3 linked regions of the Drosophila melanogaster genome follow. The protein of the gene in region 1 interacts with the protein of each later gene in a pairwise test. Each region holds a gene or a part of one and is shown on either strand. Other genes may lie near its edges.

The links.
Region 2: the proteins of CG3335 (region 1) and RpS11 interact in a two-hybrid assay, tested with the Drosophila melanogaster proteins (one large-scale study listed by BioGRID).
Region 3: the proteins of CG3335 (region 1) and CG4229 interact in a two-hybrid assay, tested with the Drosophila melanogaster proteins (one large-scale study listed by BioGRID).

The regions. Positions count from the first base shown.
Region 1 is NT_037436.4:9,622,512-9,626,267, forward strand, and holds the start of CG3335 (uncharacterized protein), read left to right. Parts: upstream 1-1,725; 5' UTR 1,726-1,825; coding exon 1,826-1,861; intron 1,862-1,913; coding exon 1,914-3,756. Other genes in the region: LanB2 (laminin B2), read left to right, coding at 1-248, 306-606, 668-879.
Region 2 is NT_033778.4:12,198,632-12,202,387, reverse strand, and holds RpS11 (ribosomal protein S11), read left to right. Parts: upstream 1-1,572; 5' UTR 1,573-1,601; coding exon 1,602-1,613; intron 1,614-1,837; coding exon of another isoform or gene 1,838-1,960; intron 1,961-2,146; coding exon 2,147-2,272; intron 2,273-2,348; coding exon 2,349-2,554; intron 2,555-2,635; exon of another isoform or gene 2,636-2,726; intron 2,727-2,798; coding exon 2,799-2,922; 3' UTR 2,923-3,075; intron 3,076-3,114; exon of another isoform or gene 3,115-3,205; intron 3,206-3,276; 3' UTR 3,277-3,364; downstream 3,365-3,756. Other genes in the region: CG8858 (uncharacterized protein), read left to right, coding at 3,558-3,585, 3,711-3,756.
Region 3 is NT_037436.4:16,555,187-16,558,551, forward strand, and holds CG4229 (uncharacterized protein), read left to right. Parts: upstream 1-1,636; 5' UTR 1,637-1,709; coding exon 1,710-1,712; intron 1,713-1,899; coding exon 1,900-2,667; 3' UTR 2,668-2,772; downstream 2,773-3,365.

The sequences.
Region 1 (3,756 bases):
ACAATACCCTAAAGGAGGCCAACAATACCTACGAGAAGTTGGCCGGCTTCCAGTCGGATGTCCAGCGCTCTTCTGAGAGTGCGGAGAAAGCCCTGCAGACGGTGCCCAACATCGAGAAGGAGATTCAGAATGCGGAAAGCCTGATCAGCCAGGCGGAGGAGGCTCTCGATGGAGCCAATAAGAATGCCAACGAGGCCAAGAAGAATGCCCAGGAGGCGCAGCTGAAGTATGCCGAACAGGCTTCCAAGGTAAGTCATTCAGGGACATCTTATTATCCTTACTAAATTCGTAAAATTTCTTGACAGGATGCTGAGCTGATCCGCCGCAAAGCCAATGAGACCAAGGTGGCTGCCCGCAATCTGCGCGAAGAGGCCGACCAACTGAATCATCGCGTGAAACTCACCGAAATGGACATCTTCAAGCTGGAGGAGAGCTCGACCAAGGACGACAATCTGGTGGACGACGCCAAGCGAAAGGTGGGTCAGGCCAAGGCCGATACCCAGGAGGCCCAGAAGCAGATCGAGAAGGCCAATGCCGACCTGACGGCCATCAAGGATGAGCTGGAGAATCTGAAGGACATCAACACGGGCGATTTGGATAGATTGGGTAAGAAACAGAAACCTCTCTAATCTGAATTTACTTATGAGTAATCTAATTAATCTCGCAGAGAATCGTTTGGCCACTGTGGAGGGTGAGATCAATCGCGTCAACCTGACGGGACGCATCGAAAAGTACCGGGAACAGCGCACCATTCAGAAGAATCTGATCGACAAGTACGATGCCGAGCTGAGGGAGCTCAAGGATGAAGTCCAGAATATTGGACTTATTTCCAAGGCTCTCCCCGATAGCTGCTTCAGTCGCAATCGCCTGGAACCCTAGAGCTCTGCGAACAACCCCACTTCCCATAACAACTACTTCAATTTTAACTAAGAACGAAGATCTGAGACGAGACGAACAAATCAGATTTATGATAGAACGTAGACGTTGAATGAAATTATGTAATTTTAGTGCCTTAGCCGAAATATTCTGTTTAGTGACCCAGCCCAAGGATCCAAGGATCCACAAAGGAGACCAACTGAGCAACGTTAAGCTTTAACGCATCATCGTTCGCCTACTGTATGCCATATACTATAATGATACAACGGATACAAGAGGATGGATGATGGCCACATCGAGAATCAACTGCCAACTGTGCTTCACCAGTTTCAAGCCAGCAACGGACTGTATTATATGTTAAAAATGAGACACTAAACGAAACACACAAGACCTTGTACTCCCACAATCCGACAATCCAATCGCATATCTATATCTCTACCGTAGCTCCACCTGAAGTCTATTCTAAACACTTATATATTAACATATTTGTCATCTACGTTTAATGTGCCAATACAATTACCATGTATCTTTGTGTATAAGTCGCTTAAAGAGTTTCCTTTCAAAATATAACTTTTCCAACGTTGTAAGTTTGTAAAAATCCACCCTTTAAACTTGAACTGGGGAAATATAAGGATGCTCAAGCGAAGTGACGTTTTGAAGTCGAGGTTATTTTACTTTTTCATTCAGCTTTGATTTGCCATCACCCATTATAATCGAAACACAACTTAAAAAATATATAAATTTGAATATCTACATGTAAAATGTAACGTAAAGTAGAGTCGATGAAACGATAGACTTTTCGATAGTATACAAATTTCGACTTTCGATACTACTGATGCTACTATCGCTCGTTTTGCATATCTAATGCACGTGTTGTTTCAATTTGTTTGTAAACAAAAGTTTTCTTAAATGAGTTTTTAGCTGCAGACCGACAAATTAGCCACAAAAGATGTCACGAATTATAGTCAAACAGCTGCCCAAGCATGTGAGTATGTAGACTTGTTAAAAAAAAGCATCTACTTAAACTGAAATTGTAGATCACCGAAGACAAACTGCGTCAGATTTTTGGTGCCCAGGGCACGATTACGGATCTGCAACTAAAATACACGCCCGATGGAAAGTTTCGGCAATTTTGCTTCGTGGGTTACAGCACCGAGGAGGAGGCCCAATCGGCCATCCGGCACTTTGACAACACATGCATTCAGACCAGCCGGGTGCGCGTCGAATCCTGTGCTGCCTTGGGCAGCGAAGATAAGCCACAATCTTGGAGCAAGTACGCCAAGGACAGCAAGAAGAACCTAGACAAATTGAAGGAGAAGGAAAGGGAGGCGGCTGCCAAGGCTAAGGAGTCTGAGAAAAAGAAGAAGAAAGATAAAGTTGACAAGGTGGACCAAATTTTGAGCAGACACAAAGACGATCCGGAATTCCAAGAGTTTCTAGAGGCGCATGACAAGTCGCGAACGCTGTGGGGAAACGATTTGGGTATAAATAAAAATCGGGAGAACGAAGAAGAGGATGATGAGGAACAGGAAGAATCTCGAGCTGCCAGAGATGACAGTGGAGTGGATGCAGATGCAGGAGATGAGGATGGCTCAGGCGATGAGGCAGATGAGGAAGAAGACACCGATAAACTGGCCGAAAAGCCCATCAGCGATCTTGAGTATATGAAATCCCTGATGGCAACCACATCCGGCGAAGCTACTGCAAAGAAACCCAAAGCCAAGGCGGATAAATCAAATTTGGAGCTGTTCACCATTAAAATACACAATGTACCATACAACACCAAGCGCCAGGAGGTGCTAAAGTTTTTCAAGCCCCTGAAACCGTACTCCGTTCGGCTGCCCAGCAAAGTTCACGGCTTCTGCTACGTGGGTTTTAAAACTGAGAAAGACATGGCCAAGGGAATGCTTAAAAACAAGAGTTTCATCAAGGGCAAGCAAGTATTCTTCTCCGACTTTACAGAGAAGAACAAGGTGACCAAAGCGAGCAAGAGTGGACAACCATTGGCACCAGCCGCCGTCGATGCGGGCAATGCGAAGTGGAAGCATCAGCAGGACAGTTTATCCAAAGAAGATGACATCTCCGAGTCCGGGAGGATATTCTTTCGTAATCTAGCATACACTACTACCGAAGAGGATCTGCGCAAGCTTTTCGAGCAGTTCGGTCCCGTGGTGGAGGTTAACTTGCCCCTCGACAAGCTAACGCGAAAAATCAAGGGCTTTGGTACAGTTACGTACATGATGCCGGAGCACGCATTAAAGGCTTTTAATACCCTCGATGGCACTGATTTCCATGGCCGTCTCTTGCACCTTCTGCCCAGCAAGGACATCGAAAAGAATCCGAAAGAGGATTTGGATGAAAACGATGCCAGTCTGTCATTCAAAGAAAAGAAGGCCTTGAAACTCAAGAAGAACGCCCAAAAACCAATTGGCTGGAACACATTGTTTCTGGGTGCCAATGCTGTTGCAGAAATTCTCGCCAAGCAATTCAAGACCTCAAAGGAACGCATCCTGGACACAAGCGATGGTGGCAGTAGTGCCGCCGTGCGCTTGGCTTTGGGAGAAACCCAAGTCGTCATCGAGATGAAGCGCTTCCTGGAGGAAGAAGGCGTTCGTCTTGATGCATTTGATGAGCCCGCAAAGAAACGTTCTAACACTGTTATACTAGCCAAGAATTTGCCAGCGGCCACAGAGATTTCAGAGATTACCCCCATCTTTAGTCGATTTGGCCCAATTGGCAGGATTGTGCTTCCTCCCAGTGGGGTTACGGCACTTATCGAGTACTGTGATCCTTTGGAGGCGAGGCAAGCTTTCAAGAAGTTGGCCTACAGTAAATTCAAGAATGCCCCACTCTATTTGGAGTGGGCTCCCGAGCAGGTCT
Region 2 (3,756 bases), on another chromosome or scaffold:
TTTAACAAATAAGCCAGCATCGATTTTAAACTGTTGACTGGCCGAACTTTGGCAGTTGGGAAAAGTTTTTTCATTTGCGCGGGCAAACAAGAGTAACACCACACCCGAAATGGCAATGAGCATGGAAATCATAATAATAAGCGAGCGAAACAAAAGCGAAACAGTTATAAACTTTCTTACTGCTGTTTATGATGTCCCGGGGCTTATTTAATCGATTATGCCGAATGATGTCCTGGCCGCATAAGGCGCAATAGTAACAGGTAAACCATAAGCCCAACCCCAACCAGTTTCAGTTTACCTGAGGAATTTCCAAAACGACGAGCAGGCGGGATAAAATGGCCTTGATGGGTGGCGACGATGGGCGGTGGCGGAGCAGCTAAGGGACTGTAAAGGGATTTCATTGCCGTCACAGAGCTCGGCAAGGTGAAATTGCCGAGCGTGGCGAGGGGCCGACTGGGAAAACCTTCGCCAGCTTCACACGCATGCCACGCCTAATGCAGCTCCAACCTCTCCTGCCCCGCCCACAGGCCCCTTTTTTTGCAGGTTAAGGTCATCAGCAGCAGCAACAGCAGCAGCAAAAGCAGCAGCAGCAACAGCAGCTGCAGCAATGCTTGCCGCAATTTTATGCTGCAGACAGCTGCATTAACAATGGCAATGAAAACCAGGCAGAGCCTGGGCGAATGCAGCCTCCTTCGTCCTGCATTCTTTGCCACATCCGTGACGTTTAGCCGTAAACGGATTTATAGCAGCTGCAACGCCCGCCGCGGCTGCTGATTGCGCCTTGAAAGTGGGCGGCATTTCAAGGCCGCTCTTCTGGCACTCGTTTACGTTGTCATTACTTTTAATCCGACGTATTCGTGGGGCATGTGGAGAATTAGCGCTCTAGGTATTTCGCCTGTAAGTGCGGCGAGTTTGTGTGCCGCCAAATAAAAGAAAGCCCACAAAATGCAGGCACAAAGGCATTTTCCTTTTTTTTTTCTTGGCGTGGAGCACTATGTACTTGAGTGGTGCTTGAGAAAAACATGGCTTGGCTTTGACTAAATATTCTTAGTCAATGGCGAGTAGATGAAGGTCAATAGCGGCGACAAACTATCTGAATCAGCAGATATGCAAATTCGAGTGCGCCAAATAAAATATTCAAAAAGCCAAAACCCCATTTGCACAAGGGCGCCATCTTTCGGAATACGTTTGGTGCTTAGCACAGCTTTCAACCATGGTTTGAGTTTGTACTGCAAACAGGACTGGATAAATGCCAATGTTAAACTATCTGTTAATGTTAAAATAAGTTTTAGCTTAACAGCACAAGATAATATTCAAATCAAAATAATACAATATACTTGAAATAATAATATAATAATTTAATTAAATTATAGTTTTTATAAAGGGTATAGTGTTGTATGTTATCAAATGATGTAGTTATATGTTAGCCACAATATTTTACTAATAAAAGCCACTGTGCTAAAATGCCTAACATTGACCTTAACAGAGCCTGAGTTACCGCCTTCATCAGCTTGGTATTTCGGCACCGCTGTGCGACGGTCCCACTTGCGGCGCCATTGAGCAAACGGTCACTCTGAATCGTTCTTTCCTTTTTCATCAACATGGCTGATCAGGTAAGATTCCACGAGAGTGTGCTAAATAAATGAAATACGCGGGTTAAACGGCTGATGCGAACCCGCAACAAGATGCCCTCTGAAGTGTAAGTGACCAGTGAATGGATGAACCTATGGAGCAGCGAACAAACGCACTGGGAAGCGTAGCCTGGACCAGCTTCGCCCTAACCCCACTTTAGCGCATGGTGTCGCCAATAGTGAACACGAAATGATGTATATTGCAGCAAACCGAACGCTCGTTCCGCAAGCAACACGCGGTGGTCGTTGTGCGTCGCAAGAGCCCCAACTTGAAGAAAAGGCCCCGTTTCTATCGCCAAATTGGCCTGGGCTTCCGCGCTCCGGCGGAGGTAAGAGGAAGCCGAACAAACCACGACTAATGTTGCGCCCCCTTCGTTTGTTTTCCATTTCACGCCTTCCCACGCACGCCGAATGTTCCCGCCCGTGCCTGCCGCCTGCCTGTTGATCCGACAACACCACCACCACCGCCACCTTGAACCCCAAACACGATTCCAACCGAACGACTAACTAACCAGAACGAGCGCGCCTTCCAAAAACAATTCGGTGTCAACCTAAACCGCAAGGTCAAGCCCGGTATCACCAAGAAGAAGCTGCTGCGTCGCTCCCGCGATGTGGGACTCGGTTTCAAGACCCCACGTGAGGTGATGCCCAGGAGATAGCCCTTGAAATGCGTAGAATTCCTTCACTAACAACATTCGTATACTCCCCCTGCTATAGGCCATCGATGGTACCTACATCGACAAGAAGTGCCCCTGGACCGGTGATGTGAGGATCCGTGGTCGCATTCTGACCGGCGTGGTCCGCAAGGCCAAGATGCAGCGCACCATTGTCATTCGGCGCGACTACCTGCACTTTGTGCGCAAATACAGCCGTTTCGAGAAGCGTCACCGCAACATGAGCGTCCACTGCTCCCCTGTGTTCAGGTAAACATATCAATAAAGCTAGAGCTAAAACCCTTTTTCCATCTTCATGACATGGAAGATGTAAAAAGAGACCTAATACCTCATACTCTGATGATAAAATCATGACGGTCTTCATAAAACAAATTGCTGAAAGAACTTGACTCTTTTTACTAAATGTAAAAATACTGAAACTAAGCCTTGTGCGCTAGCTTTGTGCTTATACTGTAGGGCCTCCTACTAATCCGTGCTATTTCTTAATTTGCAGAGATGTTGAGCATGGCGATATTGTCACCATTGGTGAGTGCCGTCCTCTGTCCAAGACTGTGCGCTTCAACGTCCTGAAAGTCAGCAAGGGTCAGGGAGCCAAGAAGAGCTTCAAGAAGTACTAGAGCGGACAACTACCATTCGGGCGATAATATTTGTAGCAATTATTCTTTTTGAATAAAACAAAAAAAAGTAACTTTAACCATGGGTTTTCTCCAGTTCTTCTCTCAGTTTCCACAGCATTTCAGCAGTCGTGCAGCCAGCTATTCCATTAAAAGGTGTGTAAAATATATTATTTTGTAAGGCAGCTATTAACTGGCATTCTGATGATAAAATCATGACGGTCTTCATAAAACAAATTGCTGAAGAACCTTGACTCTTCTCAATAAAAATGAGAATACTGATATTTATCAAAGAAAAGCATATTGAAATAAATGCAAATACTCCATACTAATGACACGATTTCTTATTTTTTACAGAAACTAAAGATGACCGCAAGAATATGGACACGAATTGCATTGAATGTACATTATTAATATGATTTTCTTAAATAAAAGTTGATTGATTACAAATTATGTTTTTATTGAATGATTTCAATGGCAAAGATTTTCGCTTTACATTTTGAATTTGGCGGCGGTTTCATTTCGAAAAGTTCGAGTGTTGCAAAGCTTTCGAATGTAGCCAAAAATTGGCATCTGTGAAATGTTCAGCACAACAGCTGGTAACACTGAAAGAGGGAAACAAAAATAAAGCAAAAAAAATGGAAACTGGACCGAATGCAGAAATTGGTAAAAATTATAATTAGCATTGTGTGCATCAAACTTTATGTTTCATCAGCGAATAGAAGAGATGGGCTGATAATACACCAAAGCTGTGCCAAAAAAAAAAAACCCACCCAATCCTTCGATTTCAGAGCTTCTGGAGCGCGTCCTGTTGCGTCTGGGAAATGCGGACTCGGA
Region 3 (3,365 bases), 6.9 Mb from region 1:
CGAAGTAAATAAAAGTGGAGAACCCCTCACCTTCATTCGATTGCCGTTTATATTTTACAATGCTTTCAAGACATAAGTTGTCCTATCCATCGATATCCCTGCCATCCCTAGCTTAAAGTCCTCAATGGTTCGTTTCATTGACCCAACATGCAAATTGACTGTGAAACAAACAGGCAAGAGGCAAATAGACAAAGTTTTACATATGTATAGAATCGAAATCAAACACACACAGACTGAAATCAATGAGCCCCGCACAATTTATGTCTCAACATATCCTATATGCCATCTGCATGTTTCTGGGTTTTTTTTTCTGCCTATGCCGGGTTTCGCTATAAATTATTTCCCCCACATGGCAAGGCAAAAAAGTCGGCAAATACACCACCGCACTCGTCCTGCAAACATAAAATATTACACATGAGTGGTTTTTATGCAAAGAAGCTGGGCAAGAAAAGCTGGGCCTCCTCCTTCGACACTTTAAACTTGGCTAAGCAACAAGTTGGTCTTCTTTTTACGGGTCGATCGGTGTGGCAAGAATTATTGCGTTGCGGCGGAAACTTTAAGAGCCAACGGAAATTGTTGCCGCCTTTTAGGCCGACAACCAGGGAATGATTTATGTGCCACATGCAGCACGGTGGTGTGGGTTTATCCCGCCGTGGGAGTACAAATCTCTTACCAACTTATAACCATATATACGATGGCACGGGTCGCACTCGTTCATTAACAATTCATTAAATGCCACCAGAAAAATTAAACGCCAGGCTAAGTAGGGCAAATTTATGCTTGGCTGACAGGACAGCGAAATTGGCTTTCAGATGTGGTTAATATATATATATAGGTAAATGTAAACATGGGTTACAGTTGCGTAAAAGGTATCACCAAATAATGACTGGCATTTAATTTAAATAACAATAAGTACGTAAATTAGTATTGCTATATGGATGGATGATTGATTGATACATTTACATATCAAAGTAGTTGCTTTTTATAGATAAAAGTAACAAAGAGTGTTTGCGAGCTCATCAATTTTTTTTTCGGCATAAAGACCGCAATTGAATTTGGTAAATGTAATATGCACAATTATGTTTATGCCTATTAAATGACCCTCGGTGTTTGGTTAACAAACGCAAATACATGGTCGAAAATGAAAGCAATAAATAATTTTCGCAACAAGTTCTGATGACAATTTCATTGGCTGTGACAGCTGGGTTGGTTGCGCCCATTTTCCATGTAATACGCATTAAAATTAACTTAATTATTCACCGCCAGGCAATTAGCTGTGCAAAAAGCGATCCAAATATGATGAGAAAATAGAATAGAAGACTCTCAAAGAGTACTTCCGCACAATTCGACAGGCCTGTGAATTAACACCTCAAAAAATATATATTTACAGCTCGAAGAAAAAACGTTATGAAAATAATTGAAATAAAAATGCGGTGCCTAAAGGTCAAGTCGACGAACGAGGTCCAAAACCTGGACCACTTGACATTGTCCAAAGCAAAACTGAGGCAAGACGAAGCACCCAAGAAGAGCACTCCACTCTGAAGTGGCTCCATTTGTTACTGGCCTTTTTGTTTTTGGTTTCTCTAATTATGGCCGAACTCGCTTTTGGCTATATATTGAGCAGTTGGCCATTAGCAAATCATCAATCAGCTCAGGCAACTTTCAATTGCAAGACGCAAATCGTAAACCCGAAAAGGCAAACTTGAAAAATGGTAAGTCCTCAAGGATTTGAGTTTGCTGCAAAGGATTAAGTAAAGTCGCTAAACAAATCAAATAAATTGATCAAAATTCTACTTGGAAAGGAGGAATTTAAAATGGATTTTGGCTTAAATAAAGAATGCAAAATAAAATTCAACAAGCCCATGAAAATACTTCCACTAACTAATACTTATTTTCCAGAAAATCTTCTCGCTTGGTGGTGTCCTTACCCTCTCCGCTGTGGCCAGTGTGGCCCTAGGTGCTCCTCAATTGGAATCTCGGCTGCGCCGCGATGTCTCGGAACTGGTGGATCCCGCTGCAGTGGAATATCTGCCTCCTTCGGTCACCGAGGCTGTCCTCCTGAACGCTGAGCCTGTGGAGGCTGAGGCTCATGCCGATCCTGCTGCCCTGGAAGCCGATCCGGAGGCCACTGTCCTGGGCGATGAGGGCTACGAGTACCGCACGGTGCGCCGCCTTAAGCTGCGCCATCGCAACCGTCGTGATGTGTCCCATTTGCAGCCAGCCAGGCAGTATCTGCCACCCAGCACCGCCTACTTGCCACCTGCTCAGGAGGCGCAGGCTGCACCCGAGGCTCCGGCAGCTGCAGCTCCACCTGCCGATGACACCGAGGAGGTGGTGTCCGCCGCCGAGCCCAAGGTGAACCGGGAGTACCTTCCGCCCACGGAAGCTGCACCAGCCGCTGAGGAAACCACCGAGGCGGCTGCACCCGAGGAGCCAGCCGATGTCCGTGTGGTGGATGTGCCCACCGTTTCTGGGCAACTGCTCCAGGATGGCTACCACTACCAGCAGCCGGCCGAGATGCCCGCCGAGCTGAGGGAGGCCGCTCCCGAGTATCTGCCTCCGATCGGCGGCGAGGAGGTCATCGTGGAGGGTCCAGCTGGAGGCGAGAGTGCCGTCCTGGGCAGCGATGGCTACCAGTATCGTGCCATCAGGCGTTACAGATTTTAAATTTCTCAATTTGCCAGCGATTTGCTAACGTTTTGTTCCACCTTTTAATTGTTGTTGATGTTTTTTAATTGGTCTAAATAAAATACAATTTTCGAACAGTACACTAAAAAATTGTTTAATGCATTATTATAGATAGCGGTGAAAAGTTGTAAATTCCTGGAAAATGTAGTTTCACCTGATTGATTATTAATAATTAATGCATATTTAATGCGCAGTGGAAAAGAAGAGTAATGCGATTAAAAGGTTCAACAAAAAGTAGATAAGTTTTTGTAATGTATCCCCTTCTTCCTTTTTTAAATTTATTTTCTTCACCTCATTGAAATATGCAAATTTTTGAGTTAATTAAGTAAATCTTTATACATGGCAGCATGAATCAAGTAAATACACACTAAGAAATTGCTCGATTGCACAATAAATCCCCAGCAAGGACTTGATTCCCAGAATAGTTGCAAGGTCTTATGTATTTATATAATTAAAGTCAACAGGCTTATGGGCTACAAACCTGTGGCAAAAGCAAACATAACATTACGTATACGCACTGAGTGGGTTTGAGCTGCGCAGTCAGTTGGCTTACTTGTATGTACATTTCAGCCTTGTTTAGTGTCAATAAAAGGGCTTTTATATGTGAGTCGTCAATTAGCTGAATTTATGCCCAACTGGCATAGCTGGCAGCTGCTCCCCTTTGATGCCACCCCCCC